2 linked regions of the Neodiprion lecontei genome follow. The protein of the gene in region 2 interacts with the protein of the main gene of each other region in a biochemical or structural test. Links are inferred from orthologs where the notes say so. Each region holds a gene or a part of one and is shown on either strand. Other genes may lie near its edges.

Region 1 (18,613 bases), on a different chromosome or scaffold from region 2:
TCCTACGTCGTTTGAACTTTCACACTTGCGGTAGAAAGCGGCGCGAAATAATCTCAGGCAAAACTCCATCCGAAACTTTTGCCTCGATCATACTTAAGTCGATAAGTATTGTTGGAAAATCGCATGACTTCCATTTTAATCGTAACAAATCTCCGGCAAGATGTTATTTAAATATTTTCGCGGGTCGTGCGAACACGTCATAACCGGAAGTTTAGCATGATTGATCGTTAACAAAAAGTTATACTGTGGTTCAGTATTTTATGAAGGAACGAAAACTCGTTGAATAATTTGATTTAAGCGTAGGAACGTTGTACGTACATATGCGAAGTTTATTAAATTTTTAAAGCAAATTTTGCGTCAAATTACGCAGACGCTTTTACTTAAACTTTGCCGAACAATGGAATATATATATACACGTATATATCTATATTCATAAATATATATATGTTTTTTGTTTTAAATATATAGATGTAGGTACATATAAATACTAAACGGTGCTGCTCGTCTTTCAGGTATTTATACACAACGCGTATACGCTGTGCTCAGTATGTATTATGCACAAACTAATATCTATTAAATAAGAATATTTAAATAACCTTAGAACATCAAACGTCTGGAGAGCTTATAAATGCAGGAATGTAGATGTACATCGGGTGACATGGAACGATTAAGGTTGTTTTGTGATGTTGCACTTGATAAAGAGATATTGTACTTGCAGGATGTGCTTTGAATAGCTTAAGGAATACTCTCAAGGCAATCTTTGATATGTTGCCAAGTTTGAAGACCCTGAAAATATCAAATGTTAGTTTATTTCCATTTTATTTCGAACAAGACTGCAATGCCAAAAACAACAGAACCAAAGTACAGCTTTTATTACCTTTCTAGCTAACTTAAACTGTAGAACACAATATGCAGCGAGAGTCTCCTTCAAATCTAGTACTTTCTGGTGCTGGAATCTTTCTATATCCACCATTGCTTTGATGGAGAAAGATCTGGAAATAAAGTGTCGACCGTTATCAACGTCCCAACCGATAACATTGCAGCCATCAAGATATTAATGAAAGTCAAAAGAGCTTAACTCACTCCAAGTCTTCGTTCGCCTGTTTCACAGCTGTTTCACTTTGATTAATTCTCTGCTCCAGCTGGTGAACCTTCAGCTCACGCACCTCTTCTGTATCCACAGACCCGAACAGACGGGATATGAGCCCAGTTTTACCTGTAAACGATGTAACAATGCGTGTAATAAATTGTTGAGAATTAGATGTTTATTCTTAGAGATTTTCGTATACCTTGCTGCAATTTATCCTTATGCTCACAAGTCGCGGTGAGAGAATCGTAGGTCTCATCGCTAACCAGTTGCAAAGCTTCTCTTCGTCTGACGACTGCCTGTAGTGCAGAAGCCCCAAATAACCACTCCTTCAATTGGTCTGCGATGAGCTCCTCCTCCTCTAGAGCTGTGTCAATACTTGCGGCTATCGAGTCTAAGTAATGTCCAGATTTCTGTAAAAATCATTCAGGATAAGGTATTAAATACCGATGAAGTGAGGAGAAGCGAGGATAAATAAAGTACCTGCAGACCATCGCCCATTTCTTTCTCTATAGCACTCCACTCGCTGAACACACGTCCATAATTAGCGTGTAATTTGTACAGTCCATATTGCTTTTCGACCAGACGTGCTCGAACTCTAAGTAGGTTGCATAAATTGCTCTGAAATGATGAATGGTGGATAAATTCGGGACATGATCGCGGAAAGGTTGAATAAACAATGAATCTTTCTGTACCCCCTTACCTGTAATTCAATTCCGTAGTTTTTTATTGTTTCAAATCGTTTATCAGGTTTTTTCAGTCTCACAGCTACGCTAAGAGCTTTTAGCTTGGATTCTGCTAGATGCAGATAGCCTAGAAGAAAGAAAGAACCGTATCACACTATGCAAGGCTCGAAAAATTCGTGCTGTAATTATGTATCCTGAATAAAATTGACCTGAAAAACTCAGCTGCTATCTTTATCAGTGGCACAAAAGTTTCAGCCAACTTTATACCTACCAGTTTCCTTGATACTCTCTCGCCAATCGTTTTCCTGCTGCAGGAAACCCATGAAGTGTTCGTCGTGTGATAACACTGGATGTGAAGCAACACGCAACAGGAAATTCTGTAGGCAATAAGCAGCGGGAAATATAGTATATATTTAAATAATTTATTAAGCAAACATAATCTACAGTCTACATCCTTACCTCAAGTCCAGCTCTACGGCGATCGACAAAGTCAGGATCGAACGTATCGGAAGCTACCTTTTGCCATCCATAAAGTACCTTCTTCTCAGGCAGCGCAGGTAACACTATGTAAGGATAAGATACCTCCAGGTAAGCCCGTAACAATTCAAATTCGGTGTAGCGTCTCCATAACGAACTAAGTTGTGTCAGAGCGCCTTTGAAGTCTGGATCGGTTACTCTGAAACACACACGATGTATCATTAGTGGGGTAAAATCTCAGGCTGAAATCAATATACTTGTTTAGAATAACAAGACCCACTCACTTGGTTTCCACCAAATAAACCGTGTAAAATTCTCTGAGATTTAAAGCTCCGTTGGCACGCTTTTCTGCCTCCACTATCACGATTTCCATATGATCAAGAAGACAATCCTGAAATGGCGAATTAGAGTAATATTATTTATCGATGATCTAATGCTCATAAAGTTTTTTAGCAATTGTTATTGAATCGGGATCTAAAGGAAGAATGTTAAAACTCTTTGATATTGAAATTTTTCAGTTACTCCCACGTTATTTACTGAAAATATTTTATTTACTTTATTGCAAAACTCGTGTTCAAATCAGAGTTGAGTAAAATTGATTGGAGAGATGGGTCACTGGGTCAACATAACAGGAGGAGGACTTTGCTGATTATCGTAGAAAGTCAACAGGCGAAGTATACATGATAATATTGTTTGTACACATGTCAGGGTGCGACTAGAGTATTTGAATTATCTTCTGCCGTTAGAATTATCGCGTTACCTATTTTTGATTCTCCCTCTCTTAAATATGTAGATCAGATCGAACTGTAATCATATGTAGGAATAATGTTTAGAAATTACAAGTAGACACTGTACCTAGGACGCGTCTCTCAATCTTCTTTCACCCCGTGATATTATACTAAAAATCATCGATGCGTATTTACCTCTTTCCGTATTATTTCCTCTGATGTAGTCATGTTGGCTGTTGTTGTTATTGTTGAGATGTTATTTCCTAGTCTATCGTCGTAATTCCCGTTTTGAAATATTTCCTCCATCGTTCCTCCGTGCAGACGGATATCGACTTCGAGTTAATATTAATTCGCGATTGTCTGTCCATCAACTCTTCGCACTACGCCAAAGTCACCTGATCACATCACGACCTATTTATTTCATCTTTGGCTAGCTAATTGCTAAAGCTGCTGAACTGACGTCGATGCAAAGCGTCGCATCGGAGGTTTCTACCCGTCTGAACCGAGCGGTGAAACAAACGCGCGTGCGCCGAAAGTCGGCGTGATGAATTTGGGCCAAGTCGCTACAGTTTGTCCATTCGTTATCAGTTTAGTCGCTCGGGTCGTCCAATACGTCCCAGAAAGCCAATACATCATATGGAAGAGAAATACTCATTCAAAAACATCATACGTGTCGATGATTAGTAGAATGTATCAAGATTCAAAACCAATGTTTTCAGCATGATATAATTAAGAATTTCAAATTACCCAAGAACCCTTGCGCAGGGTGCGCAAGAGTGGGGAGCAGTCGCAAGGTGGGGAGGCTACGTGTATAAGTCCTATGTGTTGCCCCTGCCAAGTCACCGATTAGAGTGAGAGAAAATGCCTGCAGCTGTCGTTCTTTGTTTTGTCACAGCTTCAACACTGTGCGCAAAGCGCGCAGTCTTCTCTATGGCAATACATAGGATGGACAAGTAGTACGCCCAAATTCCATACGACTGGTTTAATTATGCGACTATGCTGGTCCCATTCGTCAGAATTATACCTTTATTATTGATAATTTTATTTTTCAGTAATATTTGACATATGCAGTACAATACACTGAAAATAACCCAAATGACATTTCATTCCACGTAAAAGTTTTGTTAAATTAGGAAGATTTATAGTGAATAAAATAATTAGAAATCTGCGCAGGTTGATGAATATAGTTACTTATTAACTATTATATACGCATGCGCTAATTAAAGAAGTGATTATGTTTTACTTAGTAAATTAATCTTTTGTTAAATTTCTTGTTTCTTTTTCTTGCATCATTTTTTGATTCTGTATCGTGCTTTGTATGTATATACTTATATATACTGTTTAAGTATATGATAATTTATACTATTGCTGTTGTGAAATCCACAAACAAAAATTATATTTATAATATAGAAAATTGTTCCAAATTTTCGAACGTCATTCGAGGCTTTTCACATTGTAGACAAAAACCCCGTGCAAAATTTTTTCTAAACAGCCAACAGATGTTGACGTACAGTATATAAAAACACTCACATGCTTGACTGTTTGTCTTTGGATCTATTCAGGAGAAATAATGTTACAAAACATCGTTCCTATCAGGTGAGGTTCGAATCAATTTTCAAGTGGTTCTGTTGTACACAGACGGATGATCGTTCAAAGTGATGAAAAAAAACATTTGTCAATTAATCAGATTGTACCTAACAAATCTAAATAACTAACATTGAATAATTAAATTTTAAGGGACGCTTACTACTGGAAAAAACAAGATAACGTTTTTCACACAATAAAAATGATAAATTTCATCGGCTGATTTGTGTTATTTAGTGTCTACTCCATGATATCTCGTAAATTGTGATACACATTCTGAAAATACGTGTTTCAAAAGTAAGATCACCCACGTGAAACAACGTAAGAAAACGAAGAAAAGACGAATCTCAGCCACATCTCGATCGGCATGGACACCCAACCGACGTTATCGAAACCTTAATTTCTCACACTTAACGAAGTAGCAAACTTAACTTACCCTTTTGGCTGTTACACCTAAGTGGTAATTCAAAATTAAATTTCGTGGTTCGACTCAGTTTTGCACTAACTGGTTGGCGGAGGTGGCGGCGGCGGTTGCGCCAACAATGTCGGTAAGCTGTTCAAATCGATACCCGGCGGTGCAGGTGCCGGTTGCTGAGGTGGCGGAGGTACAGGGGCTGCTGGCGGCCATCCGCTCAGGGTTTGCTGCTGCCATCCCGGATATCCAGGAGGTGGAGCTGTTCCAGGAGGCGGAGGACGCATCGGACTTTGTTGCCCTTGTTGCCACGGTGGCATTCCTCCCATTCCCGGGGGCATTTGGCTTGGTGGCATTTGGCCGGGCGGTGGAGGCTGGTTGTTTGCAGTCATCCACGGCATCAACGGTGGAATATTGGGTTGCGTGGTTGAGCCGGGGGGCGGAGGTGGCGGCTGCATCACACCTGGAGGCGGAGGCATGCTGACCGGAGGTTGCCACTGCATATTCATACCATTCATGCTGTTCACATCGTTCTGGGTCCAGGGAGGCGGCGCCATGCCTGGTGGAGGCATCATTGGACCGCCTTGCATCATCTGCGGCGGTGGATGTGCCGGAGCTGCCATCAAAGCACGAGGCGCTTGTTGTCTGAAAGAAGTATCAATTTTTATAGCTAATATTGTGAAGAATATCAGTAACATAATTCTGGTCAAGTCAGGGAGTCGACGACTTACCTATCGAATAGACCCGGATAATTTGTGTTTTGGGAGCGTTGATGTCCCTTGGATCGATCTGGGGGTGGACCCTCGCCGAGCTCAGCCATTAGTGACATGTATTCCTCGTCAATCTTTGCTTTATCGCCACCTGGGGTGATTCCAGTCATTCCAGCAGCTGCTGGACCACCTTGACCAGGTCGTTTTGATCGACAATCTCGCGCTATATGTCCCGCGCCTCCGCAACTCGAGCATACGATGTTATTGGTAACATTGGGTTTGTCAGGACACTGGAAATAAGTTGCGAGATAATAAAGATTAGAGCTTCTGCAGCGGACCAGAAGACGAAAAGTGGTGATATACTTACCAGCCAAGATTTGTGGTCGCTTGCGCCACAGTTCGTACATCGAGGTCCGTCATTCTCTCGAAGTGTTCCATTCAGCAATGCTAATTCGCGTAATTGATTGCGACGTAAATCGTTCTGGCCCTCAGGTACTTCAACTCCTTGTCTAATTATTTCATGAATCTAACAACAACGATACACTTGTGTATTTTTCTGGAGTATAGATTAAATATTGGGATGGTTTCGTTTGGTTTTCATTAGAGGCATACACACCCTTTCAACTGCTTTCTTCACAGCATCAAGATTGTTCGCAGTAATGTACGCATGCAACGGTTCGTCCTCTCCTGGCAAAGGCTGACCATCTTTTCTACCAACTTTACCTTCTTTTACTGAACCCTTTCCACGAATAATAATCTTGGCGCCGGTTTCTTTTTCCATTGCTGTAAAAGGATGGAATAGGAAAAAAAATTCAGCTACTCTGTACCAAATAAATTCAGTGCAGTCATGACACAAGTTTAGCATAAACAAAATTACGTACATTTCAAAGTATTCCCACGTGGTCCAATAAGCAAACCGACAAAGTTTATGTCCGGATGCTCCTCTTGTGGAATCATAACTTTATCATGTACACGGATTATTGGTGGCCTGTAATGAATAAAGTTAGACTATAAATTACAATCATTTTTAATTCCATCAGGATGTATAAGTAATTGAGTTTTCAAATTATAGTATTTTGATGATACGCAGTTTCAATCAAACGGTGAATTGATTACAGGATTTTTTTAAATCTCACTTGTAATCTGGTGGCGGTTTGAACTCAGGATTAATTTTCAGTATCTTCTGAATAAGATTGTGCCTTTCCTCCTCCAATTTTCGTCGAGTTCGATATTCGCGGGTGTTCAAGCGCTTACCATCGCTACTGTAAATCGGCTCCGGAGATGGGGACCTGAAAAAAAAAGTAATCATAGATCAGTGCCTCGGACATAGGGAGATGGTACTAGCGTACAAGCGACCTGACTTTCTAATCTCACTCTACCTCAAACTTGATTCTCACTTTTATGGTTTTTAATTATAGAAAGCTAGTTGTAAGGAATTTTCTCTGAATGCATGAAAAAACTTCAACTTCACATAGCGAAGAGCTGATAACAATTCTATGTTTTCACTTCATCATTTTGAACGCAGTTATTTTTTGTTTATACGTTACGTAGGCTTTACAGGCCTGTTCTATACGGTGTATGCTCTCATTTCGCTGACTAATGTCCAAAAATTTCTTTGTAGTTCCCTTTGTACCTATTTACACACAGTTTGCTTCAAAATAAATTTTCCACATAGATGATATTTGGCAGTCACACAACTCTTATTGCATTTCTTAAGAAAATGACTTGCACAAAAAGAAAAACAACTTCAAGTCTAGATATTGTACTTTTGTTTCTGTGGCGTTGTTAGTATATCGTAAAACAATGCAGTAAAAGACTAAATGATAGGCGAAACTTTGAGAAATTATTTCTATGGGTTGGGCATCATTCATATTATATACCAGTTTATGACGTAGCAGCGTATTATAGTATTTCACATGATTAGTTTGCCCCACAAATGCAGAAGACAGAGGAAGACAGAAGAAAATAATGAGAAAGAATTGATAATTAAAGGACCCACGATAACCGATTGTAAGAATACATATGGTCTTTGAAACACGCTGCCAATGTATTGAAATATTAATGCAATTGACCGTAAACACAATGGCTTAGCTATTGTGCGTATATCGATTATATCATATTGTAGTGAACCGCTGGTAGACTGCACGATTGTGCACGGCAGATATGGATATGATGTCAGCTGCTAAGATAAATCCTGTGATTATTAGGAAATAATAATTTTTGTTTAATTAGTCATATATCACAAAGCTGTATGCATGTACGCTTCTTGCATACTTTCAAACAGTATACAAACACTAAAACGATAATACAATAATATACAAGAATGCGTCCAGCTAAAATTGAATTAGTAAAACCTATTGGAATAAATCAAAGAGATTAAGAAATTACTGTGAAGATTAATTCAAGTTGTGTTCCTGAAAGTAACGTTAGATCGATGGGTAAAGTAAAAACGATTATATTATTAACATTTACGCTTTCATTGTTTTCTTTTTCCTGTAATCTGCCCATTAAATTTTTCATTAGTAGTAAAGATGTGCTGCTGTATGCTATCTGTACAACCTGGTTCTTAGCATTAAAGTCGTAATCATCATTAGTGGTTCATTCGGTTGCCGTGCAAATCACGGCAGTCTAGTTACCGCACGAAATAATGACAAAGGTGGCCAATGAATATTCATTAGACACAGAATAACGGGACATTTACAATTCTACAAATTCGGCTCAATGCATTCAAGTCAAGTTTCATTATGCAAATCAACCTGAGAAGCACGACGAGTGAATAGTACTCGCCTTGCCAATACCATACTTTTAGCCAGGTATTTTGTAGTCACAAATGTTGACTCTTGATAGGGAATTGTTTTACTTTAGACTTTTCTAATTCTACATGAACGGTGTGCACTCAAATATCCAAATCTAATACGAAATTCATTGGTAAACTCATCGCCTAAGGACTACCAAGGATAGCCACTCAAGGGCGTTGATTTGAAGCCTACTTTGATCCAATTATAAGCTATGTGAGATTTCTTTCTGTAAATATTTCTGCGCTTGAGCTGCGTTAGGTCTTTGCCTGCCTGTCTTTAGCAGTCTGAAGCAATGGTAAACGCAACTTGTGCATTCAGCCACCCGACTCATCCCGCAACCGTAACCTGTTGCTATAGTAGGTACTGGGTAAGGTTAAATACTAGACGAAAAAGGTGCCAGGAATGCCCCTTAGGTATTAAATACTGCTACGCAATCGATGGAAAAGAGAATCCACCTCAAGCGATAACATTGAAAAAAATTGCATCATTCTAAAAGTTTGAGGCATAAATTTCCTTGCCGTTAAGTATCCTAGAAGAGTGTAGCAGTATTCAATTAAAATGAAATAGTAAGATAAATTGATTAGAGCAAACCAATATTATCATAATTCATCTTCGGTGAACATCAGAGCTCGAGGTTCCAAGCCCCCAGCTCTCAGTTGGCCGTCAGGGGTCCGACTAATTTATGTAGAGCCATTTTAAAAACCTTTTAACAACCATGAGTTAGCGGCTGCTCAGTGACGGCAGTCGATACTGTAGGTATTGTAATGGTCATTTTTTTGGTACGTAAGATTCGTTCAAACCTTTCTTCGGGGTTTGGCGGTATTCCAAGGTCGCCAGTACGGAGTTTCCTGCTGATTTCCTCAATCTGCAGCTGAACTGTAAACCAACGGGTTAGAGGGGGCGGAAACCCCAACAGTTAGACAATGCCAATTTGTCAAAAGGGTATACATTGCTAATGTATAGCAATATATGTACATATGTTCTTTTCATAAATCGTACGATATCAGCCTGAGAATCAAAACCTTGAGTGGAATTGGTTAATAGCATGAGTTATAAGTCTATAAGATTAAATCTATCAAAAAGTATCACCAAGTTCAATCCTGACTCATCGCACATTGTTCACATTATTCCATCACAACGGCTTTCTCTCAAAAGTAGGTTTACCCACGGGATTGAGATTATATGCAATCTAGGTCAACGGTATTCGTTGTTAACATACAGCTCCGAAAAAATCGGATACAAAAAAAAAAAAAAAAAAATCGTAAAAAGGTTCTCTTCAAAGTTTTGATCGTCCCAAACGTTGAACGATGTATATTTTTATTTTCCTTATTGATTGTTTTTTTTTTTCTTTCTTGAATCAAATAATTAATAATAAAACTGCTTACCTTCACCACTAAATAACTTTTATCTTATACAGTTTAACAATTTTTCCAACTTTTTTTTTTCCCAAAAATAAATTTATCATACTTACATCGTAACGGTCATCTAATGTGAAGCAAAAAAAATAATAAATAAATAAATAATAATTGAGATAAACAAACAAATGAACAAGTGCTTTTCGAGCTCCAAAATTTTTCCTCGCATAAATAATACAGTACCACCTAAATGTATCCTAGAGGCTATGAGCTTATAGGAGTTACGACTGATAAGACATGGCAAGAAAACACAACTTACAGAGGTAAGCCTGCTCCTGTTCTGGGGTAAGATTAGTCGGGAGAACCGTCGGCATCCCTGGAATGAATGTCTTGTCGTGTTCGCTACCTCCCCATCTGGTCTTCCTTCGCTTACGCCGTTCCTCTCTGGACTCCTTGTCTGATTTTCCATCGCCTGAGTTTAAGAAGGATAAAAAAAAAAGGGAAATATAAGTGTTAGTGGGTAGCTCTCTTGGGTAATTGAAAATACGTGCAGTCAGTGAAATGTAACTCCCAGGTTTTCATCATCGAATCGAAATGTAACCTGTGCGCGAACTTAGTGGCTAATTCAAATCGAACGAGGCTCCTGAATTTCACTACTTACTTTCAGCTTCCCGCTTTCTACTCTGGGACGAACTGCTGGAGCTTAACGAAGTCCCGTTGGCGATAGCCGCAGACACAGCAGCAGCTGCAGCGGCTGCTGCGGCGGCCGCGTTTGCCGCAGCGGCATTTTGCGCATTTTGTAAATAACTTGGATTCAACAGGGACGTGAAATTCCGAGACTGATTCATCGCTGACTGACTCCCTTCACGGGCAGGCGCACGATTATTACACCTATTATTAAACTCTGGCACCGCGTTGCTGACGATGTTACACTGTAACGGAGTTAGCAACAGAAAAAAATTCGATACACTTCAAAGATGGCGATCCCATCTACGACTGCATCCACGCATGCGCTCTTTCCAATGTTGCCAGACCTACCGAATATACGCGCGTCCTTCAGAGGCTGCGTTTGATGCGGCTGTGAAAAGAGCGCGTCTTTTCAAATTCGATTATACATCCGACAAAGGTCAATCTAAATTCCGATAATGTTTTGTACAGTTTGAAAAACCGTGTGCTGTTACCTTGAAGAAGAATCGAATTGCAACTCGAACTACTCATCTGATTACCGAAAGAAATGATCGATTTCTATAAAATTCGCAGCGAATTTTTATGCGCATTCAACGAAGCTGTATGAGTCGGATTGCGGTTGGTCGGGTGACAAGTGCGATATTGTAAGGTGAAAATTTTACTACAAATTTACAAGTACAGCATCAGAGACGATATCAAAGGAGATATCTTATCTGTAGAAAAATTTATTGAACAATAGTGTACTAATGACAACTTCGATTCCTAGGAGGACATGATTCATTACAGACGTACGCAAAAGTGGATGAGACAAACGGCACAGCTTGTCATTCCAGCAATGAGAATTTAGCGTTGGAACATCCTTGGCGATGGCATCCGATTTCAATTGCGATAAATGAATTGCAGGTCTTCTGCGATGTGGACGAGCGCATTTACCCGACGATTGTGTGATTGCGCGTGCGGGTTTTTCTGGTTTGTTGAGGCTATTCCATTTCCAACCAGTTATCTTGGCGAGTTTTTTTATCGAGCAATTCGGCATCCGTCTATACATCTTCCATAAAAATGACGAGTTTGATTTCGCTGATTTTGCAGTGTTCCGGACCATCTGCTTTGCTTTGACACCTTTACCGCGAGCGATGCGACTCATTTCAAATTTTTATAATAAGCCTCACATTACTTTTTGTTAAATTCGGTTAAAATGTCATGTACTCACGTTGGTGATCATGTGTCACATCTCTGTCAAACACTTGTTTTATAAAACAACGAAAAATTACAGCCGAAATTAGACAACTCTGTCGATTGACTCGTAATTCTGCGATGCAACGTTGCCTCAGCGTTCGCATCGCGACGCGAGTTTTAACGGCATCGACGTTATGCGGCGCAGACGCGGAGGCGAGTAATCAAAGATCGTGGCTCTCATGCGGTGAAAGTAAGCCAAACCACCGGATATTTCCCGGTTAATCCAAGTCCGGCGAACACCGGGAGTTCCAGAGAACCAACATAAATCGTAAGTGCACGGAGCTTGCGCAGAAGAATTGCGGGGATTTCGCGGGGACTCCGCGAAATTTCAGCGCTAGCTCTGCGCATTTGCAAGATCCAACGGAGTCTCAGGGACTCTATAGGAAAAAAAAGCCCTGGTGTAAGATACAAACATCAGATGCTTCCGCACTCAGTTCCAGTATTGTCTGTGTCCGATATCCGAATATTTCCTTCCTTTTGTTGCAGTATCATTTGCAAACGTTGTAAGTCTCCCTCCAGCGACATGCGTTGAAGCTCTAGCTTCGTCAAGCGGGATTCGTTTCTTCCCAATTCATCTTGGAGGCCCTGTTTTTTATATTCCAACTTCGCTAGTGCTTATCGCATTTTTTCAAGTTTCTCCTATCGCAGATAAAGGTTGTTACGTGCCAGTAACGATTAAGATAATAGATAAAGTTGATCTGGGGCTTTTCTCACCTCGTACTGACTCTTTCCTTCAGACGCGCTACTGATGGTTAATTCGGGTGGTCATTTTTTCCCGGATTTGTTCGTTCTCCTCAGTTCTTTGCACGGCGGTTAACGTTTGACTCTTAATCAAACAGATAATTATATTAACAACAACGATCATCAAGCCATTCGTAAAATAAGACATATTTTTGTAGTATGAAAATATAGAGAGTTTCGGGTTGTGAGTTAAACTTTTATTATCTACTCATGCAATGTTCAATATGAAGTGAAAATTATAAATGTCGTTCGAATCTCATGAAAATGAGTGAAACTTATATTTATATACGTCGAGTCAAATTATCATTCACCGATGTAAGTTGTATGGAATTGATATATTATTATACTATGTATTGTATGTATAGTACATGATGCCGTATATGATATTTTGGTATATAAAGTTGTACAAGGACATGAAACGTAGACTTATTTAAACCAAACGTGTGAATTCTTCATGTTCCGATACAGTCGAATGGTATAGTTTTAAGTCTGAGTAGATGATATGGCTGGACTGGATGTCAATATTCTCAATATTAAAGAACTGACACAATCCATTCTCTGCCATCTACATCTTCTGGCTACATATACTCATAATAAGTTACAATTTTGATCTATCGGTAATCTATGCCAATTATATAATCAGTGAATCTGATTCAAGCAAACTCATAATGATTGAATTGAAAACTTGTAAAAGCCTATGCATGTTATTTGTTTATGCTCTCCTCAGATGATAAAGTTTGGTCTCGGGACGAGACTAAACATAGCATTTCCTTATTGTATGCACATTCTGTGTTGCAAGAGCCTCTTCCACTGTATCGATCATGAACGAGGCAATATTATAATACACTTAAAAAATAACTTTGAATATTGTCATAAGATAGCCTGTTCATTATTCCGTAACATATGTATCATGTATAGATTTATATTGTTCAGAGATCAGAGAGCAAAGATAGATAGAGAGACTCTTTAAAATGATTATTTCGAAAACTATTTGCTATTAACTTAGAAACGGTTGTTCGCAATTTCTTAACTATAATATATATTAATATTGTATATATATATATATATATGTAATGTGTATGTTGTGTAAATAATATGAACGATACGTATACCGCTAGATAATTAATCGAAAAAATAATACTGGAGGCATAACAAAACGAGTTATAAAATGAATCTAACAATAAATAATTGAAGTTCGTGAATTATACTGATACGAATAAATAATATCAATATATATTTATAAATATATATATGAAGAACATATTTGTAACGTTGTAAAATTTGAAATATACTCAACAATTTTTCCTAATTTTTCTTGCAATCAACTCAAAATAAGATCTTCAAATTTCAAGGCTATAATTTTTTTCCAGTTCAGTCAAATTGTATCAGATTTATGTGAAAAGAATCAATTAATTCTGAATTCGAACAACGAGGTCAATCAAATATTCTGGTCTCTTTCGTACGACATAATGCGTAATTTTCGGTGATAATATTATTATTGATCTTCACAGAGTCAATATGCTGGAAGCAAAATATATAATAAAACAAGCGATAAAAAAAAAATCAATTCTGTAAATGTATAATATAATATAAGTGTATACCCATGTATATAACGTACACATAACGAAATTTTAGGCGTGATTTACGAAGAATAGAGAACATCGACTGACGCACAGTTACACAACAAAACACAAATAAATCAATGTAGTTATATAATTTGTATCAATAATAAAGAAACTTGAATGATCATCTACGTAATAATATATCTACATCTGTCCCTTCCGGTTCAGATCGACTAACTTTCTTCGGTCCGCAATGCCTACCGAGCATCGAGAGAGAACAACTTCTAAATGTATCCTCAACTATCATAGAATGCCTCATAGCAGTTCCCAAAACGAAGAATACACGTACCGCTATACAATATGATTAAATATTGTGCAATGCCCTCTCGATCAACGCATTTCGGCAAAGGCACCGAATTTTCATTACACATTGATTGAACAAATGTTATCATTTTTCCTTCCTTCTTCTCGGATTCATCCTCTATTGATTAGTTTCAGGTTTATTTCAGCCGCGTCGGCGTCGGAGATCTTCTGTCGTACGAAGAGGACGGAGGCAAGGCCAAAGAAGGCGGCAAACTCGCGGTGCTGGAAAGAGTCGAGTCCAATTTCCTGGCTTCGTGTTCCAGGAGTACCGCGTCCAAGGATGGATCCTGCGACACCGTCCTCAAGGAATCCCCCAGAGCTTGTCGAAGCTGCTGCATTTCTCGCCCTGCGCGAGAACTTCGCAGCACGTAAAGTTGACGGCGTTTGATTTCTTGATTCAGTTGTTCTCTCAGCAATTGAATCTGGACGCGTCAAAAGCCGAACGATAAGAGATAAATGTTTACTAAAAAATCCGAATACCGTTACACAAAAAATACCTGATTTTCAAGTCGCAACACTTGTTGACGGTGGCTTTGCTCTCTGGCCTCTAGCAATTTTTCCGCCTGCAACTGAGCTGCTCGCAATCTTTCGATCTCTCCGCTTCTATCCCTGCTTAGATCTGACGTCGAATGCGAATGGGAGTGCGAATGTGACGTTCGCAACCGAATAAGCTCCGCTTCCTTTTCCGCGAGATTCGTCTCCAATCTGCGAATCCTCAATCTCAGATCTCTGTTCTCTTGTTCCAGATTTTCCACGCTTATGTTAGAACCCATCAACTCCATCTGAGCCTTTTCGGGACGTTCGTAACTCTTGCTACGGATATTGCTCGATCGAGATGATGAAAGCTGTCGTTCCATGTTCCGTTTGTCTGCTTCAAGAGCTTTTACCTGTGAAAATACAACATCGAACAGAAATGTATCTTTTCTAACTCATATCTGATATTCACATTCTATCATTCCATCACGTCTCTGTAACGAACGAACCGATTGAATCCGAAAAGAAAGAGCGACTTACTTTATCGTTCAAAGCATCGACCTTTCCTTTAAGTTCACTTCTTTCTCGTTGTGCACTGTGGAGTTGCCTTACGAGTTCTTCGTCTTTGTTTGATGAGCCTTCCGGAGGCCAGCTGGCCAATCTTAGTTGAGATTCCAGGCCGGATCGTTGTACTTCGTTATTGGCCAATTCGTTCTGAAGCCTGGTTGTCTGGTCGGCTAAAGTTTGATTTGTGCGTCTGAGCTCAGCCATTGCTTGCTGCGTGGAGTCCAGTCTCTCTGATAATATGCGGCGCTCGTTCTCGCTGTTGGATAGTTGTTTCTGCAGCTGGTTTTAATTGGGAGGAATGCAATGAGTGTACACATGAACTCTTCCATCTACGACCATCTAAAAGCAATATACTTATAGCTGTATCTCAACCTGTTTCAGTTTTTCGTTCTGGCTTTGAGACGACGCGTTACTTTCCATGAGACTTCGTTGCAGGGCGTTTATCTCATTCCTGAATTCACTTTCTCCGGACGACGCTCGCTCCAAAGCTAAGTTCAGTTGTTCAATCGTTGTTTTCAACGAAGCGCACCTTTCTTCTAGGCTAGCCGTCGTTCGGCTTTGCGTTTCAACTCTGTCTTGCAATTTCTAGAAAAAATTTCAACGGTAGCTTGCACGACAGGAGCGAAGAACAAGATCCACGATGTACGTCAACAGCTACCAAGCAAGTTCTAGTCTCCCGCGAATTGAAATTCGAAATGCGCGCCTTTTCGCATAGCAAGTTTTAGTAGCTTTGACGCTATGCGGCGCAGACGCGAAGGAGAGTAATCAATGATCGTGACTCTTTCGTAGTGAAACTAAGCCAATCAACTGAATATTCGCAGGCTAATCCGAGTACAGGGTACATGGGGAATCCCAGAGTTTCAGCAGAACCCTTGCCGATGCATCGAGCTGCGCGGAGGCGTCGCGAAGACCCCGTGGGAACGCTAACCGAAGCTCCGTTCAGATGTAGCGAAGCTTCGGTGGTAGTTCCACGTGGACCTCACGAAATCTCAGCGCTAGGTCTGCGCATTCGCAAGATCCAGCAGAGTCTCAGGGACTCTTTTTTTTTATAAAAACCTGGTGCAAGATTCAAATATAAATCATCCTCCACCCTCAGTTTTAGCACTGTCGATGTTCGATACCTGAATATTTCCTTCCTTTTCTTGCAGTATCATTTGCAGACGTTGCAAGTCTCCCTCCAGCGACATGCGTTGAAGCTCTAGCTTCGTCGAGCGGGATTCATTTCTTCCCAATTCATCTTGGAGGCCTCTTTTTTCATTTTCCAGCTTCGCTAGTGCTTGTCGCATTTTTTCAAGTTTTTCCTATCGCAGATAACAGTTGTTACGTGCCAGTAACGATTAAGGTAATAGGTTGAAGTTGATCTGGGGCCTTTCTCACCTCGTACTGACTCTTTCCTTCAGACTCGCTACTGATGGTTAATTCAAGGGTGGTCATTTTTTCCCGCATTTGTTCGTTCTCCTCAGTTCTTTGCTTTAAGGCTTCGGACTGGAATACATACAAATTACCAGCTGACCTTTATACGTATTTGCATACAAAATGAGGTGCATACCTGCGCTTGGAAGGCGGCCTGTCTCTGGGACAATTTTGCCTCAAGTGTACTTTTTTCATCCTGTAAAGATCGCAGGTTGCTCAGTAAATTGTTGAGCTTCGAATCAGCCTTTGACTGGTTCTCTTGTGCCTCTGTCAGCTGCTTCCTGATACTGTTGATTTCAATTCTGCAATCGTCCTGGAATCATCAAGAAAACGGGCACACGTCAAGGTGTAAATTAGCAGAAAACGTTGAACGAATGGACGATTGCAATTGGGCCCTACTCGCTCTCGTTCAATTTGAGCCACTTGCTGCATAAGAGATCGAACCCCCTTTCTCACAGCCTCCGGATCAACATCAAGTATGACGTCTCGTCCGCCGTCTCCGTGATCGGCGTGGCTTGCTGCAACATGTATCCAGCATTGAAGATGGAGAATCTTACTCAAGGGGATGACTTATGAACTACGTACCACGCGCGGGGCTCCATCTTCGCGAGGGGCTCATTAATTTGAAAGGCATATTGACGCTGCCGTCGAGTTGAATACCAGCAATACGACGAAGAGTCGATCCGACACTGCTCAGCTTTTGCTCAACTTCTTTCTTGGCTGTTTCTAGTTGGTTTAATTGAGCATCCAGAGCACGGACCCTTCCCTCGGAACCGCCAAGTCGGGCCTGGAAGTCAGAATCAAAGGATTTTTTTCTCGACGGGATATCAGAATAACGTTAGGCATACCTTGAGTTCCTGGAGTTGTTGCGAAGCATCAGCCAAACAGACTTCCAAGTTGTGCTTCTGATCCTCCAGTTTTCGTTCCCGACATCGACTGTCTTCCAGTCGGATCAGGAGCTCTTGTTCTCTAGCACGCCATCTCTCGTCTTCTTCGTCTCCTCGGGAACGAAGTCTTCCAAGTTCTTGGCGAGTCACTTCCAAGCTGTTGTCCAAGTCGATTGCCTATGGAGAAAATACAAAGAACCAAAAGTGACTTTACGAAATGCTTCACTACCGGTCGTCAGAAGCGAATAAGAAATTGAGCTGGACCTGTTTCTTCAGTTGATGCAGTTGCAGTTGGAGACGTTCCCTTTCTTCGGTCTCGTTAGCTAATCTCGCCTGCAACTCTCTCTCCTCGTTTTGTCCCTGAGCATTTGCAGCCTGGGATTTTTGCAGCTCGTCCTGAGTAGCTCGGAGTTGTTGTTGCAGCTGCATCGCATCTCGCTCCATGTCTCGGAGCTGAGACTGGAGTCGTGATCTTTCGTTGTCGATTGTAGTCCTAAGGTCTTCCAGACCTGCAAGAACGACAATTTGCAGTCAAGCTTTGTGGAAACGGATCTCAAAAGTGTCATACTGTTTGGAATTTACCTGCAATCTTTTGATAAGCTTCTTCCAGAGCTCGAGCCTGCTCTCGTTTTTCACCCTCCGTGCGTTTCACGTATTCCCGCAATTCCTTATTACTACTGTTGTACTTCTCCTTCTCATAGTTCGTGTCCGTCAATTGTCGGCGAACGTCGACTAGCTCCTTTCGCAACATTTCGATTGAATTTTCGGCTGCAACAATTTAGACTCGTGAGGAATTGCCTCAAGAGTGTTTGGCGATAGTGTCGATGAGAAAAATGAGCTGAAACG
Region 2 (15,537 bases):
GAAAAGCATGCAACCTGGAGAGTGCATGAATTACATGCAAGTTATATTAGACTTAGGTTTCATGAATTTTAATTTCTTTGACACCCTGATCACCGAACTCCAACAATATGAGCTCGTTTATAAGTTGAAATCACAGATAATTTCCAACAGTGTAACATGGACGAGAAGTGAGGAGAAAAACTCTGAACATGTTACTGGAGGAATCAAGTCGGTTGAAGATAATCACATCATCGTTGTTTGGGATTACACAGAGACAGTTAAAAAAGTAGCCAGTGATACGTTTGTGACATCCATAGATAATATCCAAACATCAATGCCTGGGAAAGTGACAACGCTGATAGTATACGGAATGGAAAACTATTTCAGGCATCATAGGAATCTTAAAAAAATGCAAGTTAAAAACCTATGTCTGGGAAGCTTCAGGGATGGGAAAAAGCGGAGAGGTAGCAAGGCTTTTGAAGATTTGCCAGTGATTTCTAGGAAACAATTAGAACTGTGCCTGATTGAGGTTCAACTCACACTAAACTGTAACAGTCAACTAATCGAATCACCACACGGTCTAGGTCAGGTCATTGGCCAGTATACAAAAGCCATTGCTGAAGCACCGTTCAAAATTCACAAGAAACAAATGCTACAATCTCAGCTAGACTTTTACGCCGCTGGGGACAATAAAGACACTGTTAAAGTCGACAAGGATGGGAATGGACTGAAAAGGCTATGGCAACAACAACTATGTCAGTTTAATTTGGCTAGATTGGAAACAGCAGAGGCCATTATTTCAAAATATCCAACTCCCTCACATCTGATGGATGTGAGTTTTTCAATTTCACTAACAGAATCAGTGAATGCTTGTAACATACCTCTGCCTATTTTTATTCGTACTTCCAAATGTTTCCAAGAAACACATTTTATCAATTGTCTTACTCATGTTACAGGCTTATGCTCATTGCACACTTTCGGAAGGTATGAAACTGCTTCAAGATATTCCTGTAAGTTTTCTCAAATAAACATATATTTTATACTATATAATTTTAATAACTTAAGCTTACTTAAAACAGATCAGAAGAACTGCAGGACCTATTACAAATGTCCGACGGATAGGACCTGAATTGAGCAAGAAATTGTACCTCATGTTCACGTCAGAGGATGGCAATATTCTTCTGGGCAATGACTAAGTAGACCTGCAGCGATAAACAGTTTTTTTTGTTAGACACTAGTGCCTTGTAAATATCGTACCTACTATTCTGTTTTAAGACAGAGTTTTATACACAAAGCATACGTTACCATAATGAAAGAATGTCCTTACTCCTTAATCTTCAGTTCTGAAAGTACAAGTTGATAGCGTTATATTTTTACCAGATCAGAATAAGCGGCAGGATTTAATATAAGGGAGAGTTTTTGCGGTAGCCAGTAAAGATTTGACATGTACTAATCAAGTTAATGTTCTAATTTACTACTATGTTTGTATTAATTATATGGTCAAAGAAAGACGATCACATACTCAAGTAACGAGCCAACAATTTATAGTTTGAATACGTATATGAATATAGTATATATTGAGAACTAGAGGAGCAATTTAACTCTTTCACAGTCTTCTTCTGAATTGTTACATCAACCTTTAATATTGTTATTAAAGCAAGATCATTGATTATTATTAACTAATATTAACAATACGTAGTTTTGGTGTTTATATGAGAATTTTTTCATTACTCAGAAAGATCTATTTGCTACATTTTTACAAAAGAATAAATAGCGTCAGGGCTCGTATCTATTAAGGCATGTAATAATCAATGAAGTCAGTTTTGTCATTAGTGTTTCTAATGGCGAGGACAAAAGATATTTCATAATTAAATATGATAGTCAATAGCTTTTTAGCAACATTGAAAAATAATAGTTAATCATAACAGCCTTACATTTATTTTAAATGAACAAATAAATAGCAATTCTTTCAACTCGATTATTGCATTTTTACGTTTTCTGATATTTTAGAAGTATTGAAATGCATTCAGATTCCAAAATATTAGTATTGAAACAGAATAAAGTTTGTAAACTAAAAGTGAACTTAAGGATTTTCTTTAAAAATTGAAAGTCCTTATTGTTACTATGCGTTGTAGAACGATTTTCATTTTATTTCAAGAACCAATTCAGGTAAACTTGAAATATATTCCCACACGCGACTGCACCAATCTACTATTGAATCCAGCAGCCGTGTGATCTATTTATGACATACATTTACAGTAAACTGACTAAAACCATTATTTCCTCATGGCTACTTTTTCTTTCAAATTAACATAAATTACTTTTATGAATAATAGTATCAATTCTTCTTCTATTATATTGATATAACAAGTATATTAAATTTCAGATAATGGCTTTGGTTTGCTAATTTCAAACTTTTAGCAGTAAAAATATAAAATCATCATTTATAAACGTAAAAATTGTATCGTAGAGATAAATTGACAGTTGAATGTACAATTTGACATCTACATAGACATACAGATCTAATGTAATGTTCATCGCAAAACTTGAGGTTACATTAACTAGTTATTTATCCTTTTACATTTTCGTTTTGTTTTTCAATAATTTCAGAAGATGCGTTTGTATCCGAAAGGAAAACCTTGGTCTTTACAATATCTATTTCTGTATTTGAATCCGCATGATTAAGTGATTCAGTGTCGTGACCGTTTTTCGATGGTGATGTCAAGTCAATTTCTGATACAGTTGGAATTTTTCGCTCAATAATATTTGTCTTGATAGCATCCTCAATTTCCAATGCATCATCTTGAATGATTTCTTGAAATTTAATTTGATGCCTCGGAAGCATCTGAGCGTATCTATGTTCATTTTTTTCATAACTAACCATCTTTGAAGTATTTTTAGTTAAAACAACTTGTTCATTCTTATCGTCGTGAATATTACTAGGAACAGAATTTCTCTTGGCTAAAATAATCTTAGTATACTTAATCGTTGGGTGATTCAATCGTGGTATTGTTTGTGTCGGTGTACCGATGCGATTAGTGCTTGTTATAGATTGATTTTGCAAGCGGGATGTCAGAACTGCACGATTAACATGATGCAGCGGTCCAGTCGCTCGAACAAGAGCTTGCATTGGTGTATTGGCTAAACTTGTGATGGGATGTTGTATTTTATCATGCTTATTACTGATCAATACAACCTTCGTGGTCCCACTTAGTTTTGGAATATTTTTGTCGTAAGGATCCATCATAACTGGCACTTGAGAGATTGGCGGAGCTTTTTCAATGGCGTTTAAATTTTCGCCGTCTTTAGCAAATATTATTGGAATGTCCAGTATGTTACCCAAATCGTCGTCAAAGTCATCATTAATTTTTTTTCGCGTTGGCGATTGTGGTTTGTTGACTTTCTGTACTCTTTGGAGATTACAATTGTTCACTGTTATCTTTGGCACTGTTTTCATAGACCTTTGGCTCATCATCATTTTGCTTGACAGGGGTAAAATGGTTATTGTATTTTGACCAGACATTGGTACTAACATCGAAGCTGTTCTCGAATTGTTCAAACTATCTGCTAACATCACTACATTCTCCGATGATACTGCAAGAGGATAGTTTGTATTCGATGAACTGGTTTGGGAAGCGGGTAGAGACTGCATCTTAGACACATCCAACGGTTGATTTGAGGTAGATATAGTTCGATTCGTACTGCTGCTTGCTCCGTTGTTCTCCGGCTCTATAAAATAGAGATACCGTTCTCAGATATTACGAGAGAAACGGGAAAAATGTTAAAATATGTACCAAGTTACAGTGCAATTGATAACCCTGCATACATAAGATGTACATCAAATATCTAAACATGTATCTGTGTAAGCAAAAGTATATTGTTATGAAAAACCTGTTCACATTCATCTTAGCACTATAAACAGCACGTTAAGTTTTCAATTTCGATAAAGAGAGACCAGTTAATGACCTATGATTTCTCAAGTTAAATTGTTTTTTTTATTTTCGCTGTATGTAAAAACCGGCAATGATGCTGCTTTTAAACTTCGTTGTAATTTTGATCAGACTCAAAACTTCTCAAAACGTAAATTTTATACATTAAAATGAATGGTATAAGGTTCCTATTCTTGTAAATTGTTACGATTTCAACATTAAATTACAAGAAAGAAGAAATATCTTTATACATATATATACATGCATATCTTAAGAATTTAAAGTCATTAGAACGAATTAATATGGAATAAACCGTTCATTTCAACCTCTTAATAGATTAATTTTTACCAAGGTGAGGGATAGGAATTAAAAGAAAACCGAGTTACATGAAATTGTTTATTGAACATAAAATATAAGGCAATGTTGGTGTATTTACACATGATAAAATATTTCTTCTGACAAAATTCGATTGAACAACAATGTTCTCGTCTTGGATGCATAGCATTTTGCAGTGCATCCTTCGCAATCAAACTTTAGGCATTGAAGACCAGATTTAATTTGAAGCATTCATTATCTACAAATGACTGTTCCTAGCAACGACTATATTACATATATTCATACAGTTATTGTATGATATCATGTTACATACAAATAAAATGTATTAAAAAAAAAAAACCTGTCCTAAGCTAATGATCCTTACATTCAATACCATAATTGCGTCTTATCGTTGTGCGAATAGAGATTCTTTGTTATTTGAAAACTGAGGTCAACATATAGACGTAATACTTGACTAAAATCTTCAATACAAAACAACGCCGGTCGTTGTGAAAATATATAAAATTTCATTTACTTATTCGTAATATGGCTAGATAATAGAATTCTACCTTTTGGTGTAGTTGTTGATGAGGATGATACAATCGTGTGTGTATTTGGAGTTGAAACACTGGGCGTCAACAAAATGCTTGATGCAGAGGTACCTTTTCCCATTGGCATACCACTGACTATTCCCATTGGACTTCTTCTGCTCTGCAGTAGCGCGGAAAGAGCTCCACTTGCATTAGTTACAGATTTTACCTGCATCGCTATAGAAAACAGATACATACACGATTCTGAGAAATTATCAAATTTATTGTATGTGCAATTAATGTTTCTAATTGATATTATATTCACAAATAGGTTGATACCAAAAAATCATAATTAGTAAATCAAATATTACCTGCAGCAGTAGACGCACTGACCCTAACTTGATTTCCAGCCGTAGTTAGAACGTTTACCAATTTAGCTTCGCCACCTTTGTCCGTAATATTGATGTGCTTATAACTGCTCGTTACAGTTTTAGAGAAGTTTTTACTTGTTGTCATAACTGTTTTCAGTTTTGAACTACTTTGAGGACTGGTATTTGTGGCCATCATTTTAGGCATTTTAGAATACACGTTTGACGGCCTGCATACATTGCTCATCTTGGTTGTAGTCGGAAAAGTTTGACCGGCTGAGGTTGTTGCCATACGCAATGGTCCGATGGGTGCTAAACTGGCCAAGGTACCAATGTTCAACGTTATCCCCGCGCCTGCATTACTTGCATTCAACTGTATAACAATTTGTATAGTCAATCCAATGCTGCATCAAAGCATAATGTTGCTAAACAAAATTTCCTTACCTGCCCCGATAGTCTTGGTGATAATAGCTGGTCAGGCAAAGTCACTTTCTGATTACTGATGACTCTAGGTTTTCGTTTAGATGCCGAGGCATGATTTAAATTTGCTCCGCTGATTGCTAAAAGGGTTGGCTGCGTATTTATAGTTCCCGATCGCACCAGAGATCCTGCTGAAGACTTTTGCGGTGTACCAGAGACAGCATTAGGCGTGATGGGTGTCATAGGTCTAGTTTTTTTCGAACTCGGAGAGTGTGGTTCGCTCTCTACTGAACTGCTAGTAGAATTTTTCCTCTTTCTAGACTCCTTTTTCATAGATTTGTCAGAGTTTATCAAGGGATTAGATCGCAGAGGCAGAGGATGAGGTTGCAGCAGAATACTGCCAACAAAATCACCAACTTCGTCAAGTATACATCTGTCGACTATGCTCTGTGTTATACCCTCAGATATTTTCTTTGCCGTAGATATTCTCAGGTGATCATCCGCTGTTCCTATAACAACTAGGCTTGTTTCGACAAGCATTTTTTCCCTCAGATCTTCCAAGTCATCGGGTCTCACAAGTGTCGCATTTTGACCAATTACAAACATAACAGGGCATCTAATATCCATCAAAGTGTCATCAGGGGTCCCCCGTTTTCCTTCTACAGTCGTGAATGGAAAGCCCAAGCAAATCACTGCCGTTACATGTTCCATTTGAGCTACCTAAGAAACAGTTAAAATAGATTCTTAGTCGCCATGAAATATATACAGTGAAATGTTTTACAAAGTGGTAAATAATTAAGTCTCACTTGGCAAGCGAGAGCAGCTCCTGTGTTAAATCCAACAAGGATTATTGGGCGCCCTGGATAATCACTACGAACGTCTTGTATTTTGGTTCTGGTAGCTTGTACTAGTTGCTCCATGCACGCCATCATCGTCATTCTATTTGCCGCTAATCCCATGTGTGTATGCACATTGACAACCATACCCAATGCTCCCAAATGCGCAATCCATTTGTGTTGTCGTGAAGAAACACTGGTTCCGACTCCAGAGGGTGCTATGACAAGGATTGGATTGCCAGGTAACTTTTTCTGGAAACAATATGACAAGTATTAAAGTAGTGATCTACTTTTGCAAATAATCTACTCCGAAACTTGCATCATTAATTCTATTGTGGTATCAAAGGTTTAACTTACTGGCCTGCTTGCATTCAGTGTTGATGCGATTGGATCCCATGATCTTTTTAGCAATGGTCCGAGGGTTTCCCAGGTTATTGACCCACTTTTAGCATTTAAGTTTGGTTGTATGGCTATTATTTTATCTATTAATTGTGGAATTTTTAATCTCAACGTTTGAAGAATATCCAGGTAAATAGCCATATATTCCTGGGGTAGATTTTCGAAGAGTAAATTATGCAGCCATTGAGCTACTCGAAAATCCCACCCAGCAGATGCGAGTGTTTCTCTGAATCTTCGTGCAGCTGTGTCAACGGAAGTTCTTCGAAAAATTGGTTCCATTAAACTATTCGCTTTTACCAATCTAGCTAACCGTTCTGATGATAATATGCGCATAACTTTGGTAAAAATACGATTTTGAATCGGAGTCCAAAGGATTTTTTCTATCTTTTCTTCCCAATCATCATTTTCGTCAGGTCGAGCAAAATTAGCAAGTCTCTGAAACTCGTCCATCACATGACGAGTTCTGGCTAAATCGTACGGCGGCGTGACAGACTCCGTCATATCTCCTTCAACGTTGACCTCTTCATCCTGTTTTAGTTTATCCCTATTTTTTTAAATCCAGAACAACAAAACAAACAAATTTCAATTATAAAAAAAATAGAAAAGAAAATTCTGAGAGCGGGAATAAAGAAATAAAAATTATCCGAGATTTTATCATTCTCGTAGCTCTCCTTCAGTTAGGTTATTAAAAAATTAACACAAATGAAATAGGAAAACACGCCGTGCACTATCATCTTATACTCACGTGACTAACAAACTTCTCGGCTTGCTGAAGAACAGTTTCTTGACTGGCTTGACATATACATTTTCCGGTTTCCAGTTCCAAGGGCGAGCATAGCAGTGATCCTTGACGATAACGTTGATTTCACTCTCGAAACATCCAGCGAGCTGATGTAAATATGTGGTTAATGTATTTGGGTTATCATCAAACGTGTCACCAGTTGGACTAGGTAGTCCTGAGCCTACTGTTGATGAAGTGGAAACAACGGGACACGTCGACAGCAACATTTTCATTATACTATCTCGTCCAGTAGCTGACCTCAAAACATCTGTCATCTCAATAAACTTCAACTTTTAAGCGAACAGCATCCTGCAATATCAAATGACAATGTTATACAAAGCATTATCGAAAGGATAGTAGTAATATTCAGGACACCATTTAATAATGCAACATACCGTGCACTAGATTTTTTCAAACAACTCCAAAACTCATCGTAGACTAAAATTGTTATAGGATGAATTGCAGCGTTCTTTCCATGTTTTCGTGAACACACATTAGGAGGATGATATTTAACCTTAGCTATTTACATGGGTGATAATTGTTTTCAACGTGGTTAAAAAGTTGTGAATGAAAAAATAGTTTTTGAACTCGTGCGTAAATTATTGTGCGTTGGTGGAGGCAACAGTCACTTCGTAGACGATGCGATTGTTAACACGCATAGGATAGAATAGAAGTATTTTTACTCCACTCGCGTATTTCACAGATTGACTAATAGCCACAATCGCAATTTTTTCATGGTCGAAACTGTATTAGGAATAATCTGAGTTATATATATCAAATACACAACACAATACACGAATTGCGCAACGCGTCCGTGTTTCTCAGGAGCTGCTGACTGCTAGTTTTTCTTTTCGGAACATGTCAGCACACCATGATGTCAGCATCTGCGCACATTGACGATATTTCGTACGTTTCGGCAATCAGCAAAGGGGCGACTGGAAGGGGAAACCCTGGTCATATTTTTTCGCTGCTATAATATCCCCTAGCCAAAGACTACTCGGATTGCCAAGCGTCGGTAAATGGAAACATTTTTGCGTAGTTATTTTTGCGTGGACGAATGCTTACGCGCATTCTTTAATATACTGAACATTTTGATCTAAAAAGCTGTAGTTAGTTTCGTGAGTATAATCATTGGTGAAATGTTAAAATAATTAGCCATTCTATACAAGTCGCTATAGTTCTGCACGAAACGCGTCACGGACGAGGATGGCACGAATACTTCAGCAGAATAGAAATTATTTATAACTATTTCACCATATACCTCGCTGATAAAATTTTCGAAGAACATTTTGTGTGAAAAGTTGAATCAATTTCATTTACTGATTTAGTGATAATTGGAAACGATTGCAATAAGGGTTTCCAATTTTCAATCGGTAAAGAAGGAAAATGGTAGCGCCTTAATCAAGGGTAATTTCTTTCTTGGGTTGGTAATTACGTGTTTACTGCTTGCCGCTTGCGCCTCGCGCTGGAATAGTGATTTGTTTGCGGCGTTTCGTGCTTCGACACAACGGCAAAAGAAAGAAAAGATTTGCTTAATGGGCGTAAATAGTTTATAAAGCAGTTACCATAATTTTTCACGATAAATTAACACACTATGGAAGTAAGCAGTGAACAACCCGCTCCAACTATGGAGCCTGCCGCTAATACAGAGCAGGAAGCCACCGAAGAACCTACAGAGGAAACAGAGGAGTACAATTTCGATGGTGACGACTACAGGCCTTTTATTCCGCGAGGCCGAGGAGGTTTTAGGTAATAAAATACTGAGTGGAAAGTTTAAACTACTCGCCAATTTCCCGACCACCTCGATTAACTTCCTCGCAAAGATTTATTGAAGTTCGAAGAAAGATTTCGAAAGCAATATTCACTCCAGAAAAATTACAGCAATAATCATAATAATAACGAGGACGTCATGTGTTATCTGTACACACACATGTAGCCATGGAAACAATTTTTTTTTTCAACTGAAAATGATTAATATGGATGTTATTCTGTTACACTTGGTCAATTCAAAGGGAAAACATGTTTCAAAAGACTTATATTCCCACACAAGTTATCACCAAAAAATCTAAATAGTCTGGCAAACAGATTGATACATGCTAGCAAAAATAAAATTTTTATCTTTGTAAATTCCAACCACAAATCGGTCAGAAGTTATTTGATTCTCATGATTTTCATTTGAAATATCCAGACAATATATTTATCTTATAGAGCTGGCATTTGAGAAGTTCTGATAAATGTAGAACTGCGAATTTGAAAAATGATTTGCTTCCGTTTCTTTCTAATTCTCGGTCGCACCAATTCTCTATAATATTTAATTCGCAATCTTGTAACAGTTTTGGACTTGTTTCCAATCTTGTCAAGAGTGGGACTGATTATTTTGTCTGATACTTTCTTACTATTGTTTACAATTTCCAGCACAATTCACTCATATTTAAAATTGACTTAAAATTTTGAATGTACATTTTCTCAAAACTTTGAGCTTTTAAGTACGTACTCAATATTCTGATATTCATATTGATGACGTTGATAGATGATCTGTAATAAGTGATTCCAAGTGCATAGGTAATCACCTTTTTTTATGGTTTTATTTTAGGGGTCGGGGTCGGGGAGCATTTGACTTTCCAATGAGAGGTGGGCCCCCTAGATTTAGAGGACGAGGATTTGGCCCACGTGGGCCAATGTTCAGAGGAGGAAACAATGGGTTCCCATTCGAAGGTCCACCACGTCCCAATTGTCCACCAGGCCCTGGAGGACCACGTTTTCGTGGCCCACCACCATTCGATCCAAGCTGGGGCCCTATGGGACCCCCTAATTTGATGGGGCCTCCCAACATGATGGGACCACCTGGAATGGTAGCCTGTTTATTCGAATTCTGAGAATGATCTCAACTCTTGGATGGTCAATGCATTTGTGAAATCGTTAAAGATTATACTAATTTTCGTTTGTGTCATTTTTCAGCCCCCTCCGCACATGATGAACGGACCTCTTGGTGCTGGCCCGTATGGTCCACCGCCTGGAATGGGACCACCAAGCATGAATGTACGTCTGTAATTAATCGATAAAATGAGGATTATCAGCTGAATGAAGTTTGATATTCTCACTTGTGGCATGAATATCTTATGTAAGAGTAAACTACTTACTGATAAATGATAATCTGTTTAAAGCAGGGAGCACAAGTCGCCGGTCAGCAGACTCAACAGCAGATACATCAATCGCAAACAAACATTCCAGGATTAGACCTTAATGGTGAGGTATGGGTTGAGACGAAAACTGGGGACGGAAAGTCATATTTTTATAATATAAGAACAAGAGAGACTACCTGGACCAAGCCTGAGGGACCAAATGTTAAAGTTATGGCGCAAGATCAGGTGGGCATTCAGAATTTGCGGTATTCCGTATTTCCTTATTAGTTTCACATACTTTCACCTCCTAACCTGGTAAAATTCTTATGTAATATATTAGTTAGAGCAACTGGTACATGGCGCTGCTAAACAAGGTACTGGATCGACAACGCCAACAGGTACAATACAGTCTCAACCGGCTGAAACACGAGTAACACAGTCTGGCGAACAAGTAACTGGCAGCTCAGAAGCTCAGAGTCAAGCTGCTACCTCAACACCTTCTTCTGCAACTACCGCACCAGCCAGTGAACCAACCGACACAAGTGTACAGCCGGAAATAAGTCAGACAAATGGTTAAAATTATATATAATACGTTATCTCACATTGTTTCATATACCGGATTTATGAAGTAACGTAAAATATAAAACTTTGCAGCATCACCATCGGCTGTTAGTGCACTGGCGACTAATGGCACAGCAAACATGATGCAACCACCACCAAATATGCTGCCAATGCAACACAGAATGCCCACCAATCAGTTTGGAGGTCCTATACCCACTCCGTTTGGAGCAGCACCTTTTGGCATGCCTCCGCCAGGCTTCCAGGCGTTTGGAAATTATGGACCACCTCAAACAAATTGGGGTAAATAATTTTTCTTGGCGCGAAATTTAAATTGTGTTATGAGCACATTCATTTTCAGCGAACGAATGTCCCTTTTTATTCAGGTATGCCACAAATGCCACATGGAGTTATGACTCCTCAGACTGGTGTTGAAGATCCCGCCATATTGGCACAGATAGACCCGGAGTTAGTGGCGTTAGCATTAGTTTGGACTGAACATCGTGCACCTGATGGCCGGATGTACTATTATAATACAAAAGCAGGCGAATCAGTTTGGGAAAAGCCCCAGCCAATGAAAGATTTTGAAAGTACGTATATCAATACTCAGGACTAGAAAATCGGGAGAATCACTGCACGAGTTTATAAATTATATCCAAAGATTTTCATCAATTTGTGATTCCTTCATATTGTCTGTTTCTTGGAGTAACAGGTCACATTTTGATACCGACTATTACTAATATGCTACAAACCTTTTCTTATCGAATTTTCAGATGCAAAACTTGCCATACGACAAAAAGCAGATGACATAGTACCTGCTGGAACTCAAGACGTGCCGATCAAACTTGAGAAACAAGAAGAGAGTAGCCCAGAGACCAAAGAAAATTTCAAGGAAACTGAAAATAACAAACAAAAGAAAGATGAAGTTGTTCCCAAAGAATCAACTAAACCACAAGATAAATCAAGGCCGATTTCTAGCACTCCCGTTCCTGGAACACCATGGTAATAATTGTCTTGTTCAGCTGTATATATTAAAAATAAACTTTCCTATTTGTTATTTAATATTTGCTATGTTTTCCATAATTAGGTGCGTTGTGTGGACTGGAGACGGTCGCGTATTTTTCTATAATCCCTCTTCCCGAATATCAGTGTGGGAAAGGCCCGAGGATCTAGTTGGACGGGCAGACGTTGAGAAACTGATTGCCACTCCACCAGATGCTGTTGCTACACCCAAAAATCCACACCAATCAGATTCTTGCGAAAGCAGTGACGAGGAACAGCCAACACCAGCTAAAAAACCAAAACAAGAAGAAGTTGTTAAAGGTATTTAATCAATTTGCCTCAGCATATGTAGATGGCAAAGTTATCAACATTATATACCTGCTGTTTGTTTTACATTAATGTCGTTCTCAGTCATCCCTAAGGAGGAGGAGGAAAAGGAAGGAAAGAAAACTATTGACATAGGTAAGGAGGCTGCGATTGAAGCAGAAGTGAGGGCTGCTAGAGAGAGAGCCATTGTTCCTTTGGATACAAGAATCAAATCATTCAAAGATATGCTAGCAGAAAAAGATGTAAGTAGAATTTGCCGTTGTTCTGTGACAATCAGTTAACTTTCAATTGTTGACGATACTTATATATTTTATTCGACCCTATTTGGATTCAGGTATCAGCATTCAGTACGTGGGAGAAAGAGTTACATAAAATAGTATTCGACCCTCGCTATTTGTTGTTGACATCGAAGGAGAGGAAGCAAGTCTTTGAAAAATATGTAAAGGAGCGAGCTGAGGAGGAAAGACGAGAGAAGCGAAATAAAATGAAGGAAAGGAAGGAACAATTTCAGAAGCTTCTCGAAGAAGCTACACTTCATGGAAAGTAGGTTACTGACTTACTGTATATTTTATGATGAGATATGGTATTCTGTATCATCTCAACACCTTCATTCTATCATCATGATCCCAAAAATCTGGCATTGTATCTGGCATTTTGTGTCACAGTTTAAATTTAACTTTTTATATTTTATGTGAAAACAGATCATCGTTCAGTGATTTTGCTCAAAAACATGGCAAAGACGACCGTTTTAAAAATGTGGAGAAGATGCGCGAGCGCGAGAGTCTGTTCAACGAATATCTACTGGAAGTGCGAAAGCGGGAGAAGGAGGAGAAAACGGCTAAACGAGAACAGGTATGCCAGTTGGAATTATTCAGCATAACATAATACTGCCGATTGAAAGGCCAATTTTTTTACAGGTTTTACTTTGAAAGAAAGTAATCAACGTTTTGGCAAAATTCTAGAAAATCAAACAATCGAATCATCATTAGATCACGCATTCACAGTTTCATATAAAATATCTTGTTTTTTAGAATTTAATTAGGCAAACTGAGAATATTTCGAACATTTTCGAGTTTGGCTTCTTGTTCTTGATTCTCAAGTAACTCAAAGTTTGTGATACTAAATCTTTCTCGTTTCAATTTGAAGACCAGAAACTTAGTGTAAGACTGCCAACTGATTAAGCTCGATTAACAATAACATATATAATAATCTTTACTACGTTTTAGCAACCTTCGCATTTTTTTCAGCAAGTATGTGAGCCTAACATGTTATACAATAACTTACTGCCATGAAATCTGATTTTAAATAATCCTCAGGTCAAATAACAATTCACCACGTCTTTGTTTTTTCTTCTATCTTTTGCGTCCAACAGTGAAAAAATACGACTTCAATTGTTGTGATTTTAAAAGTATTTGCCAATGTTGGAAAGCTTGCTAAAATTCCTTTTCCAATTATATTAAGTAAAAATTGGCATTGCATAACTCCAATGACTGTGAGATACTGGAAGCTACACCATGAAAAATGATGTTCAAGCATTTTTACTATCTATTCAAACAGCATACATTTAACAGCGTTACAGTTTCCTGCATGCAGAATACAAAGGTTTGTCGTATCATGTGAGACTCGGATAATTTTTTGGTAGATTGCAATCGACAGAATGAGATGTTGACATAAGAATGGTTGGTGAAAGACTTGAAGTCACTGCCCATGCCTAATTTAATGAAATCTAAACATTTGGAGGAACCCTGATGTGTTTATTAGTATGAATTTTGCGAGGGAGTAATTGGTGGAAGTTAGAATGATAAAATATTGAATGATTCGTTACAAATAATGTCGTATCAATCAGTGGGCAGTAACTTGTTGTATGAACATTGTCTACAAAATTAATATACTTTTTGTACTTTCAGTGATAACAAACAATTTTTTCAGGTTCCGTAGGTATGTTATTATTTTGTTCCAATTGAATGATTTTTAATATTAATTCCTAAGGGCAATAATAACAACAGTGATATAGTTATTATTAACGAACGAAGAACACACATAGGAAGAAATGAGAAGTAAACTCTCTACTCTCTAATCCAATCTGTTTGATGAAAAATCTTTCCATATATATAAACAATCATAAATTGTTGGGAGAGATAGAGAATAAATAGTTGGTATATGACGGTTCCTTATGTACTTATGTGTTCTGAACTCTCCACTTCAGTCAGGAGGCAGGCAGGGCAGGTTCCATATGTGGAGTGGCATGGTTCTGAAGCTGGTTGGTGGCATGGATGATGTCATCTACCATCCCCACCTACACTGCGTGGCACAGTTGGCACACCCTCGCGCGCTGCATTCTTAACTCCAAAGCAGAGTCATGAGAATGAAACAACTCGGTATTTGTATATTAATCGTAATCCTCGTTACTTGAACAAAAACAAACAAACAAACAAAGAAAAAGAAATACAGATTAACTTCTCTCAAATCAAAATCATTCTTTGGAAGTATCAGATGAAAATAGTAATGAGTTCCCATTGAATTTCAAAAGTAAAAAAATTATAAATCAATAATATCCCTTAGGTAGCGCAAAATTCATTTCCCTTAATTATATCACGTTATTGAACGATAGACATGATCCATTTTATCGTGGTACAATTATCATACGAATTAACTATGAACATACTATTTTTGAAAATTTGGGAATTTTTTCAATATATAATACTTCTTTTTGTACATATAAAGATAATTTGCATTTACGTAAGAATGGTTAAAACGTACTTTTTACCTGTACCGGATGGCTTCCAGGGAATTAACTAAACTGTTGTCTTTTCTTTGTAGTTTACCAAACTCATAGCAAATCACGATTATTTGGATAGATTTTTGCACGACATTTAGAGTTTGAAATTTTTATTCGATATCTGTCACACTTCCACCCTCTGAGCGATGAGATGATCAATATTTTCAGATATATACTCTGAATACCCCAAAT

The links.
Region 1: the proteins of transcription elongation regulator 1 (region 2) and splicing factor 1 form a complex in vitro, tested with the Homo sapiens proteins (3 studies listed by BioGRID). The link is inferred for Neodiprion lecontei from reciprocal best matches to the Homo sapiens genes TCERG1 and SF1.

The regions. Positions count from the first base shown.
Region 1 is NC_060260.1:2,607,071-2,625,683, forward strand, and holds splicing factor 1, read right to left. Parts: upstream 10,828-18,613; 5' UTR 10,686-10,827; coding exon 10,499-10,685; intron 10,310-10,498; coding exon 10,157-10,309; intron 9,359-10,156; coding exon 9,283-9,358; intron 6,974-9,282; coding exon 6,821-6,973; intron 6,673-6,820; coding exon 6,566-6,672; intron 6,468-6,565; coding exon 6,301-6,467; intron 6,211-6,300; coding exon 6,052-6,210; intron 5,975-6,051; coding exon 5,706-5,974; intron 5,620-5,705; coding exon 5,064-5,619; 3' UTR 3,656-5,063; downstream 1-3,655. Other genes in the region: sorting nexin-4, read right to left, coding at 736-786, 878-992, 1,084-1,216, 1,290-1,500, 1,571-1,708, 1,791-1,900, 2,045-2,150, 2,233-2,449 and 2 more; rootletin, read right to left, coding at 14,564-14,848, 14,924-15,313, 15,441-15,746, 15,840-16,052, 16,589-16,768, 16,845-16,952, 17,017-17,193, 17,280-17,398 and 4 more. UniProt on the Homo sapiens protein: Necessary for the ATP-dependent first step of spliceosome assembly. Binds to the intron branch point sequence (BPS) 5'-UACUAAC-3' of the pre-mRNA. May act as transcription repressor.
Region 2 is NC_060265.1:27,674,837-27,690,373, forward strand, and holds the start of transcription elongation regulator 1, read left to right. Parts: upstream 1-8,910; 5' UTR 8,911-9,151; coding exon 9,152-9,306; intron 9,307-10,150; coding exon 10,151-10,409; intron 10,410-10,515; coding exon 10,516-10,596; intron 10,597-10,721; coding exon 10,722-10,925; intron 10,926-11,019; coding exon 11,020-11,251; intron 11,252-11,333; coding exon 11,334-11,540; intron 11,541-11,623; coding exon 11,624-11,827; intron 11,828-12,010; coding exon 12,011-12,239; intron 12,240-12,324; coding exon 12,325-12,560; intron 12,561-12,650; coding exon 12,651-12,808; intron 12,809-12,900; coding exon 12,901-13,109; intron 13,110-13,267; coding exon 13,268-13,418; intron 13,419-15,537. Other genes in the region: crossover junction endonuclease EME1, read left to right, coding at 1-811, 936-989, 1,059-1,175; KAT8 regulatory NSL complex subunit 3, read right to left, coding at 2,549-3,708, 4,793-4,990, 5,125-5,494, 5,566-6,261, 6,348-6,629, 6,735-7,320, 7,522-7,832. UniProt on the Homo sapiens protein: Transcription factor that binds RNA polymerase II and inhibits the elongation of transcripts from target promoters. Regulates transcription elongation in a TATA box-dependent manner.